Linked DNA regions of Cricetulus griseus. Each later gene encodes a partner of the first gene's protein in a complex. Links are inferred from orthologs where the notes say so. Each region holds a gene or a part of one and is shown in the gene's direction. Other genes may lie near its edges.

Evidence for each region.
Region 2: the proteins of Rev1 (region 1) and Pold3 are in contact, whole or in part, in an NMR structure (PDB 2N1G), measured with the Homo sapiens proteins. The link is inferred for Cricetulus griseus from reciprocal best matches to the Homo sapiens genes REV1 and POLD3. Residues at the interface, in NP_057400.1 of Homo sapiens: Asn1158, Leu1159, Ala1160, Gly1161, Leu1171, Leu1172, Glu1174, Trp1175, Ile1179, Met1183, Glu1184, Glu1185, Asp1186, Gln1189, Val1190; in NP_006582.1 of Homo sapiens: Gly232, Asn233, Met234, Met235, Ser236, Asn237, Phe238, Phe239, Gly240, Ala242, Ala243, Met244.
Region 3: the proteins of Rev1 (region 1) and Polk are in contact, whole or in part, in an NMR structure (PDB 2LSI), measured with the Homo sapiens proteins. The link is inferred for Cricetulus griseus from reciprocal best matches to the Homo sapiens genes REV1 and POLK. Residues at the interface, in NP_057400.1 of Homo sapiens: Asn1158, Leu1159, Ala1160, Gly1161, Ala1162, Asp1167, Leu1171, Leu1172, Glu1174, Trp1175, Thr1178, Ile1179, Met1183, Glu1185, Asp1186, Gln1189, Val1190; in NP_001374042.1 of Homo sapiens: Lys564, Lys565, Ser566, Phe567, Phe568, Asp569, Lys571, Arg572, Arg575.

The regions. Positions count from the first base shown.
Region 1 is NW_023276807.1:10,162,016-10,165,669, forward strand, and holds part of Rev1 (DNA repair protein REV1), read left to right. Parts: intron 1-1,311; coding exon 1,312-2,018; intron 2,019-3,654. UniProt on the Homo sapiens protein: Deoxycytidyl transferase involved in DNA repair. Transfers a dCMP residue from dCTP to the 3'-end of a DNA primer in a template-dependent reaction.
Region 2 is NC_048596.1:99,449,786-99,453,439, forward strand, and holds part of Pold3 (DNA polymerase delta subunit 3), read left to right. Parts: intron 1-1,431; coding exon 1,432-1,538; intron 1,539-3,654. UniProt on the Homo sapiens protein: Accessory component of both the DNA polymerase delta complex and the DNA polymerase zeta complex.
Region 3 is NC_048595.1:315,165,198-315,168,651, reverse strand, and holds the end of Polk (DNA polymerase kappa), read left to right. Parts: coding exon 1-282; intron 283-1,178; coding exon 1,179-1,212; intron 1,213-1,388; coding exon 1,389-1,473; 3' UTR 1,474-2,954; downstream 2,955-3,454. UniProt on the Homo sapiens protein: DNA polymerase specifically involved in DNA repair. Plays an important role in translesion synthesis, where the normal high-fidelity DNA polymerases cannot proceed and DNA synthesis stalls.

The DNA.
Region 1 (3,654 bases):
TAAATAAATTTAAGTGGCTCTTCACTTCCTGCTCTATGTTAAGGGGCAGTCTTCTTCTGAATCAGTTGTCTTTCTTTTAATTGTTTTCAGTTTGTGTTCTTCTTTCACTGGCCTTTTATGAGAGTTGGATGTACTCAAAATTGACTATCATAACATAGTCCATGAACAATACAGATGCAGCCAGAACCTGAGACAAGTAGAAATGGGTGGGGATTTATTTGTTTATTTTTTGCATCCAACTTGTATGATTTTTCCATGTAGTCAGCCCATCATTACTAATAAGTCAAATTGACATTAGGGTGACTACCTTAAGACAACATGTGGTGGTGACAGAAATCTGACCCTTAGTATGTATGGTATTGTGTGTGTTACCCCATTATCTGGAGTCCCAACTAATTGGAATAATGCTATAGACATTTGAAAGAATGAATCACTGATAAAATCCTCTTTTGTATTTTTTGTTATTTAGATGTTTTTATGAATACAAATGAATTGTCTTCTTTAGTATTTAAAAATGTAGAGTAGCTAGGATGTAAATTGAGTATAGCATATGTCATAGAGTCTGCATTTGTTAAACTTGGGACTATAAATTTGACTTAGATTGCCTTGGTTATCTGTGGCATCTAAATACACTTTTCCGGTTAATTGCTGTCTTTTTTCTTATTAAAAATTGTACACGGAGTTGCTAGCACACACTTGATTCTTACATGATATCATCTGGAATAGTAGTAAGCCCAGTGTGTGCTTAAATACAGTCATGTCAGTTCTCATCTTGACTGAAAGGCTAACTAGAATCAGGGTGCTGATCCCATGTAGTGGTGTTGGGTTTCATGTGTTAGAGAATTACTTACATGAAAACCAAATGTAAAACCAGAAGAAGGAACTCAGGGAAAACTTTTTTTCATTTTATGAAAAATAGATGTTATTCACAGTAAATGACAGTTACTGTGCTTTGGAATTTAGAGGTAATAGGTTCTAGTTAGTTTTTGTGGGAAAAGTTGCAGAAAACCAATGGACATAGGGCCTGTGCATGCCTGTTATTTCAGTATTTGATAAACTTAAGTAAAAGGCTGTGTAAGTAGTCGGTAACTCAGACCCTATTTTCACAAAAAAGTAAGTAACAAAAAAAGGAGAAGAAAGAAAAAGTTCTTGTTTCTTTAGTTTGGCTAAGAATTATTGTTTGTTCAAGTAAGAATATAGTGTTTATGGTTTAATTTTTCAGTATTTAAGAGGGAAACAGTAAATCACAAAGAAAATTTGTATTTAAGCTTTCAAGTTAGATACATTAACTTAATTCTTCTTATACTTTAGAAATCACATAATTAAGAAGATTGAGACAGAAAATGAAGTGAAAGCAAATGGACTGAGCAGTTGGAATGAAGAAGATACAAATGATTTTAGTTTTGTGGATCTGGAACAGACATTTCCAGGAAGGAAACAAAATGGAATATTGCATCCCAGAGACACCTCTGTCATTTTTAATGGACACTCTCATAGCTCTAATGGTGCCTTAAAGACACAGGATAGCTTGGTGCCTGTGGGCAATAGTGTTGCTAGCAGGCTTTCTTTAGATTCTGCCCAGGAGGAGAAGGCAGAGAAGAGCAACACTGACTTCAGAGACTGCACAGTACAGCAGTTGCAGCAGAGCACCAGAAATACAGATGCTTTGCGGAATCCACACAGAACTAATTCTCTCTCATCGTCTTTGCACAGTAACATTAAAATCAATGGTGCTCACCACTCCACTGTTCAGGGGCCTTCAAGCACAAAAAGCACTTCTGTTGTGACTCTTAGTAAGCACTTCTGTTGTGACTCTTCAGTGCCATCCAAACCATCAGACTACAATTTTATCTCAGATTTCTATTCTCATTCAAGACTCCATCACATCTCAACATGGAAGTGTGAATTGACTGAGTTTGTCAATACCCTACAAAGACAAAGTAGTGGTATCTTTCCAGGAAGGGAAAAGTTAAAAAAACTGAAAACAGGCAGGTCTTCCCTTGTTGTAACTGACACAGGTAGATACTAAAATTGTTTTCTTCAAAACAGTTATATTTGATGATTTTGTTTCATTGGTATTCTAATCATTATAAACTTCTTAGTATAAAAAGCCTCCAGGAATGCCAGGTTATGTAAGTTAACAGTAAGTATAACACTAAACTTTGTTATTTTATGTTAGATTTAACTGTGGCTAACTGAAAATATTAGGCCATTTCAATGCTGTCAGAACTGGGATTTCAAGTATTCCTTCCTCATGTAGACTTTATACATTGTTGAAGTTTTGAACTGTATAAATATAACATTTTATATTCCGTGCCTAATCTGTGAGAATGAAGTTGTTTGGTAAGGGTAATTGTGAATTTCTTGAAGCTTACTTCATAATTCACTTTTAAAAAATTAAACACTGACCTAATTATTGTACTTAGAGTGGTAAACTTAGTGAGATTATTTTCACATCTGTGTAGATTGTTGATAATTTGTGTGTGGCTTAATGTTTGTCATCCAAATCCAACAGGAAGCTGTTTTGTGACAGTCATTACTTAAACTAGAGTCTAGTTTAGACCTAGTTTGAAGTTTCAGTTGTTTTTGACAAAGGGTTTGACGTTTTTTTTCTTTTGTGGGCGTGGCACAAAGTTCCAAGATTATGTGATAATCTTTATAACTGTGGAAAGGGAGGCATAAAGAGAAAGACGATAATGGTGTTTTAGATCCATGTGAGTTTTTTGTTGCTGCTATATTGGTTTTATATATATTTCAACATGTTTTTAGTCAAAATGATTTTTCAGTATTTCTGAAATATTTCAGAGTAATGCCATAGTTCTTATGTCTTGGTCTTTACAACCTTAAGGTTACTTAATTTTGAAAGCTTTAAAATACTTTTATGAATTAGGTCTATTGATGGGAATAAATTCATAATCTTCTATGTTGTAAGAAAGCATTTGGTAGGTATTTGGTTTATACATTCTGTATCCCTTGAATATTTAATACTATTTTGGGTTGTTTACATTTTGTTTCATGTTTTTATACAGTAGAATTGCGATTGTTGTTTGCCTAACATGTGCAAGGCTCTGAGTTTGATACCTAGCACTGCCAAAGAAAGAAAGATTATGATTGTTAAAATGTACTTGATAAATCTTTCTGAAGGTAGCATAGAGAACGGCAAGGAAGTGCAAGGGTTTGAGTTAGATAGCTTAGCTTGAATCCAAATCCTTACTCTGCCACTTTGTGCCGTGGGAACATGCATTTGCCTTTCTTGCCTGTTTCTTCTCTGCAAGAGGAGTGATAGGAATCAGTGATGTCCAGCTTATGGGTTATCCACTTGAAGATAACATGAAGATTCAGTGCCTTGCACATAGTGAGACAAAGTAAATGTCTTACAGTTAATATGTGAAGTAGCACAATTACTAGGGAGTAAGTTTAAAAAAAAAAAACTATCATAAAGCCGACAATCAAGAATATTCTCTGAGATCAGAACTTCTTGCAAGCCGTAGTTCTTAAATTTAGGTACTATACTATTACATTTAGAGCACCAGGAGGAGTAATAGTATTAATGTTATTATAAAGTAATATTTTCCAAGCTGGGTGGGTAGTGGTGGCACACGCCTTTATTCCCAGCACTTGGGAGGCAGAGGCAGGTGGATCTCAAAGAGTTTG
Region 2 (3,654 bases), on another chromosome or scaffold:
GATATGTGTGTGTGTGTGTGTGTGTGTGTGAGAGAGAGAGAGAGAGAGAGAGAGAGAGAGAGAGAGAGAGAGAGAGAGAGAGAGAGAGAGAGAGAGAGAGAGAGAGAAGAGAGAGATTCTTTATATAGTGTTACTCAAATTTTCTAGTTCTTTTTGGATCAGTTTTGAGTAAATTGTGCTTTTAAAGGAATTTATTTTCTCTAAGTGCTTGAGCTTGTTAAAGTTGTTCATAATCTAGCCTTGTTCTTAGAGTATTTGTAGACTATAGTTATGACTACACATTCCTTTATTTTTTAATTACCACTTGGTAATACATGTTTTCTTTCTATTGTAAAAGGCTTATTAATCTTTTCTTCTTAACCTATCAACTTTAGGCTTCGTTAGTTTTCTTTCCTTTCTATTGCATTGCTTTTTACTCTAATGTTTATTCCCTTTGGCTTACTTTGGGTTTACTTTATTCTTTTCCTAGCAAAAGTAGAAAAAAAAAGTTGATGTTCAAAATCAAATAAGACATAGGAACTCAATGACAGAAAGACTATGGTTTATGTGTATTTGTCTCTAACATACAACAGGCCCTTAAATTATTTATTGATGAATGCTGTAATAGAGAAAGCAGACAGGGAAGCTAAATAATGTCAAAAGAGAGTCTAGGCTTTTATGACATCATTAGAATGACTTTATGGTCTTGTCTATGCCTTTGCTCACGTTGTTCTTTCATTTTAGAATATTATCTTCCCTTCCTACCTGTTGAATATCTCCTTAGCTTTTAACAGTTGTGCTCCTCAATGTTATTTGTCCATTAAATTTTATCATGTTTTATAATGGCTAGTGCAGTTGGCCAAAGCATGTTCATCTTTTGAGGCAAGGTTTTAACTGTGTGGCTCAGGCTGGCCTCGGTTTTAGAATCCTTCGCTCTCTGCAGAAATTATAGGTGTGCGCCACTACATCTGGCCTCCGGGGGCTTTTTGAGAACAGCATTTCTTTCCTGGTCTTTGCAGTACTGTTGTTTAGCTCCTTATTTAATGCATGTTAAGTGACTGAAAGGCCAGGAGGGGGAAAGGCATTGGCAAGACTCTAAACTGGCCTACAGAGAACTGATGAAACCTTTTATATAGTGTATATATCTCCAAAGAATCATTCTTCCTGCTGGGCATGGTGGTGCACCACTCAGGAGGCAGAGGCAGGGGATCTCTGAGTTGGAGGCCAGCCTGGTCTACATAGTGAGTTCTAGGACAGCCAGGGCTACATAGAAACCTTGACTCAAACAAACAAATAAAAACAGATTAGTTTTTCTTCATCTGCTTTGTTGTTTTCTACCCTCTGGAGTTATGTCTGTGAGCTTTAAAGAAGCTGCATAGGAACAAATGCACACTTAAACATATGCATACTTTTTGTTTTGTAATGTGCTTAATTTATTCCTGATGGCAACAGGGGGAAGCGAGTAGACTTATCTGATGAGGAAGCAAAGGAAACCGAAAACCTGAAGAAAAAGAGGAGAAGAATCAAGCTCCCTCAGTCCGATAGCAGTGAAGATGAAGGTAGACATTGGTGTTAATTCTTGTTAGGGATAATTTCTTGGTTCATGCGTGAGGATCTAAAATTTTCTCTTACTATGAACTACAATGGCAGCAGTAGTACTAGCAATTAGAATATCTCTCTTTGAAATCTGCTGTAATCTTTTTATCAGAATAGTGATCATTTGGTAACTTGTGAAAATACAGAAAACAGAAAGTATGACTACTTTTACACATACTATCTAAGCCCTTTCTTTTCTCTTTAAGGCTAGTGTTCTTTTGGCTACCTTCATGTACATATTCTAGACACACCAAAAAATAAAACTGAGGTCAAACTGGAAGATCATACATAGTGTCACTGTTGAAAGGGAGTGACACTGTGGACCTGCCAGGGTCAAGATGTGGGCACTGTAGTAAGATAAGCAAGCAGAATAAACACAGGAGTCTCTACAGGGAAATTAATATGCTTTTAAAACAAATATCAAGTACTTTTAATTAAAAAAAATATGTATTAGGTGTTTCATTTACGTGTTTGTATGTGCACCATATGTATACAGTTCTCAGAAGAAGGCATTAGAAAGTGGTGAGCTGCCTGCTATCTGGGTGCTGGGAATTGAACCCAAATCCTCTGAAAGGGCAGCCAGTGCTCTTAACCTCTGCACCACCTCTCCAACCCTAATATCAAGTACTCTTAAGATCTTACCCCAAACCATGTAAAGTATATAGAAAAAAACCAAAGAGAAAGTTTCTTAGACTACATTGTGCTATCCAGGAAAGTATGCAGAGAGAATGGGGCTAAACCTGGAGCTGTCATAGCAGTTTAAAGAGAGAAGAATGATAATGCAAAAAGGAGCCTGACTGTCAAAGGACAAAACTAAAGATAAAATAATTGCTAGAAACAGTCGCTAGAGTAACTGAAAAAAGGTGATATAGCCTCTGCCCCAAAGGGCACTAACTATACAAGTGAGTGGAAAAACACACTACATTAATGTACATTGAGAAGATAGGGGCTGGGGAAATAGTTCCATCAGTAAGTGTTCGCCTCATAAGCACGAAGGTCTCTCCTGTCACCTGTGTAAGAGGTGTGCACTTGTAATCCCAGCACTGGGGAGATGGAGTCAGGCTGATCCCCAGAGCTGGCTAGGCAGTTAGCGTAGCCTAGTGAGCAAGCTTTGGATCCAGCTGCAGAGCCCAACTCAAAACACACAGGCATCTCCTGGGAACAGCATCTGTTGTTGAGCATTGTCCTCCACACATATGTATAAACATGTACACCCACACACACTTGAACATGCACATACTCCTTTTACTCACAAAGCTAAGACTTTGTGAGTAGAAACTGAATAGTCTAGTGTTACTGAAAGCGCCAGTTCTGAATTGAGTTCCTGGGTTGATTGAGCACTCTTGCATACTTCTGAAATATTCTATTGTTCTGTAGCCCACAAAATAATAATACCCAAGGGCTATTAGAATGTGACTGTGGTTGCTCAGTTGGGAAAGGACTGCAAAGAAATGTGATGGAGGTGAGCAGCACGTGACAACAGGATGACAGAGAGCAGAAGCCCTCAGGTTCTTTTCTCTGGCAGAGATAATTTTTGGCATCTGAGTGAACTTATAAAAGTCTACCATTTTATTCTATAATTTCTGTGTCTGAAAGCCAGCAGGATTTTATTTTGAACCTTTACACAGTCTCTTTTTATTTGTGTTCCACTGATTATAATAGCTTGATCTGCTGTCTCAGGCTAGTCATTAACAGATGTGCGGCAGGCGTGTAGGAGATGGCAAGGGCTCCAGAGTCAGACAGACCCAGGTTAAATCTTCCTGCACCCTTACTAGCTGATGTTAGGCAGGTGCCTTAACTTCCAGTCCCTGTTTACTCTTCTAGAACTGCAGTGTTACTACAAACTAGCTTTTTGTAGACATTAAAACAATACATCAGAAATGCCCAGACAGCACTTGACACACAGTAGCTTTTCACATTGTGCCCCTCCCCCCACTCCATCCTTATATGTGAGCCTCGGCAAATTCCTTTCACCTTCTTATTGGAAAGGCTCTCCTTCACCCTGGAAGTGCCATAAGCGCCCTTAGTAGTTCTACATAATTAAAAACAAAACAAAACTGTTGCTAGGAAGAAACAGTT
Region 3 (3,454 bases), on another chromosome or scaffold:
AACATTCTGATACTCCAAACCAGTCTTGTCCTATTTCACTGGCAAATGAAGCTGAAGCTGTCAGAATATTAAGTGAGCAAGAATCCATCCGGCCCTGTACAGATGAGATAGTAACAGGACAAGCTCTAGTTTGTCCTGTTTGTAACCTAGAACAGAAGACTTCTGACCTTACCCTCTTCAATGTGCATGTGGATATTTGCTTAAATAAAGGCATTATCCAAGAACTGAGGAATAATGAAGTTAATTCAGTTGGCCAACACAAAGAAAGCTCCAGAAATACTGGTGAGCTTGCAGTTATTAAGTGGGGGAGGAGGGGGTGCAGTAGTTCTTGCTGATCTTGCATAGGACCTGGGGTTGGTCCCCAGAACCCACATGGTACCTACAACATCTGTAACTCCTCCCTCAACAGGCACCAGGCACACACAGTACACAGACATACATGTAGGCAAAACACCAATGCACTTAAAATTAAAAAAGAGCAATGTGATTTTCTAGAGATGTCTTATTAAAATCCCTGAAACTTAAGTTTGAAATACTTACTATTAAAAAGGTGTCTTGGGTTTGCTCTCATTGAGGAAAATATTAGTTCTGCCTTCCCATGGCTAGAAATAGCTCAAACTGAGCTTTTGAATTTAGGGGAAACCCCAGTTTAGTTTTGATTCAGTGTAGAATGAAGTTAAAAGTTGAAGGATCAGAGTGATCTACACAAAAGAAATTCCCTTGGGAAACATCTGCTAGTGCACAGTGACAAATTGGCTGTGTTTACAGAGACAGGAAGCCTTTCACTTGTTTCTCTGTAGTGCTGACTGTAGCAAGATTGCAGAAATTAAGTTTAATGCCAGTAGAACTAGTAAATTCTAAGGGATCGACAATATGAGATTAACCTTGTGAGGCTGGCAGTTGTGCCTCGAGGGTGTAGGTGCCTTTCAACCTGATTTTCATCTCTGGACCACATGATGGAAGGAAAGAACTGACTTCCAAAAGTCGTCCATTGACCTCCATACATGTGCACATGTACATGGAAGCACTAATTTAATTAATGTAATACAATATTCTTAAAAATTGTTTGGGATATGCATACTATTTAATCTGTCAGTTTTGTCTCTTTAATTTTTGTGATGCTTTTCAATGATTTTACCTTTTCCTCATGGAATTTCTTGGCTTTCTTTACCTTACAGGCAGACTTCAGAAGGCTGCAGGAAGGACAAAAAGGTATGCCTATCTTGAACTTGAGTAAAGAGAGCCACAAACTCATGTTTAATCTGAGTTTAAGGGGCTAAACTTTGCTTTAATAACTTTAATCAAGTAACATTTTAAGAACTGTTTTTGCAAAATTATTTTCAAGTATTTCCTTCTACATAGAAGTTATGTATTCTTTCTCATTCCAGGCGGAGACAGAGGACAAAGTGGTCTACATCAAAGAAAACAAAACCCCGAAGTCCCAGACACACCCTTGATATGTTTTTTAAATGAACTTTGAACATTTTATCAACATTCTTATTGAAATTCTTAGTTTTATAACCAGTGTATTTAGCCTTCCTCATTTTTAAGATTCATCTAGGGAAGACAAGTGCAATATTACCTCCTCATATGACCTTTTTAAGGAATGTAGACTGCATATTAACTTATTTCTTTATATTTCCCTTAATAACCATAAGATTTCATTTCCAGTGTACATCAGTTGGAAATCAGTCATGTTAAAGACAGCTTTAAAATGAAAGTAAAAGGGGAGGTCAGAAGATGATGTATTATTTTATAATGAGCATAAAATACTTACGGAGTCTGAGTTGTGTGCACTAGTTGCAGCATGAGCATCTCAGTGCTTAGCCGCCGTGGTGCCATTGGATGCTGCTGTACTTGCTCTTGTGTCTAATTTAAGTGTTCTGTGAGCATTTGTAGTTAGATTTAACCATGAGGTCTATGAAGAACATTGGTTTAACAGAAATAGCAATGGGTACACGTGTTACCTTCATGAAAGCAATGCACAGTATTATCTGTGTTTGAAGGACTTGTTCAAACTATTGTTAGTTGTTTTTCCTTACAATTCTTTTACCTTACAAATAAGCACTTGGTTCACATAAAGAAATCTTTAGTACACAATTCAAAATAGTTTGTTTTTTAACTCAGTAACTTTAAATAGCAGTATTTCTTTTCTTGGTAAATGTATTTAACTTTCTACAAATCTGTAGTAGACAAGATAAGTTGTGTTGTCACTTGATTTTCATTCTACTCTTTAAGAGAAAATGTGCAACTCAGAAGATGCATGCCTTAGAAAGCATAGCACTGACCTCAGTGACATGCCTGTCACACCTTTGTTAACATTTGTGAAAGAAGAAAGATTTGCAGCAGTTAAGGAGTTGCTCCAAACATGGTGCCACCCACAAGTTCTTATCAAAAATCCCCTTTTGCTACTGCTTTAAGAACTAAATCTTGCCAGGAGGTGGTGGTACCTTTAATCCCAGCACTCGAAAATCAGAGGCAGGCTCTGAGTTGGAAGCCAGCCTGGTCTACAGAGTGAATTCCAGGACAGTCTGGTCTACACAGAAACTGTGTGTCATAAAAGCAAAAAAAGGGAAAAAGAGAACTGAATCTTTTTTCTTATAGTTTGATCTTTGAATATCTTAGTGCATTTAGAGTAGACAAATATTTGAGGGATACCTTCCTTAGGGCAAAGCCTTTGCCACAGTTGTAACCTGACTTTTAATTACCAGCCTGTTCATAGATGAGCTGAAAGCTTACTGACGTGCCAGTCCCTTACCTGATTGTCCTCACCATGACAGTTCCAAAGCTGTGGTGTTTTGGTTATTGATTGTGATTTACTTATGTAAATTATTTATAAAATTCAGTGAAACTGATTTAATGTATTAAAAAGTAGATATTATTGTATTTATTGTTTTCTCCCATCTGAAATTTATTTTTATTGTTTTCCACATTAAATAATAAATTATTTTCAATTAAGTTTGTCATTTAATTGAATACCATCATATATATTTAATAACTTAAATAAAATTTTAAAACTTTTTTTTTAGAATTTCTTACATGTGTAATGTGTTTACATCATTTTCTTCTCTTACTCTTTCTCTTCCAACTTCTCCTGTGTCCCTCCCTCTCAGTCCCTCTCAAATTCATGACCTCTTTTTAAATTATTATTTTTTACAAATTTTATTTAAATTAGAAACAATCTTATTTTACATATCAATCATGGTTCCCTCTACCATCCTCCCATGCCCCTCCACTGACCCCCACATCCACTCCCCAGGGAGGGTGAGGCCTTTCATGGGGATCATAAAAGTCTGTCAAGTCATTTGGGGCAGGGCCTAGGCCCTCCTGCATGTGTCTAGGCTAAGAGAGTATCCCTCCATGGGGAATAGACTCCCAAAGTCTGTGTGTACACTAGGGATAAATACTGGTTCCACTGCTAATACCTTCCAGGATCATTTCTATAGTTCATTAA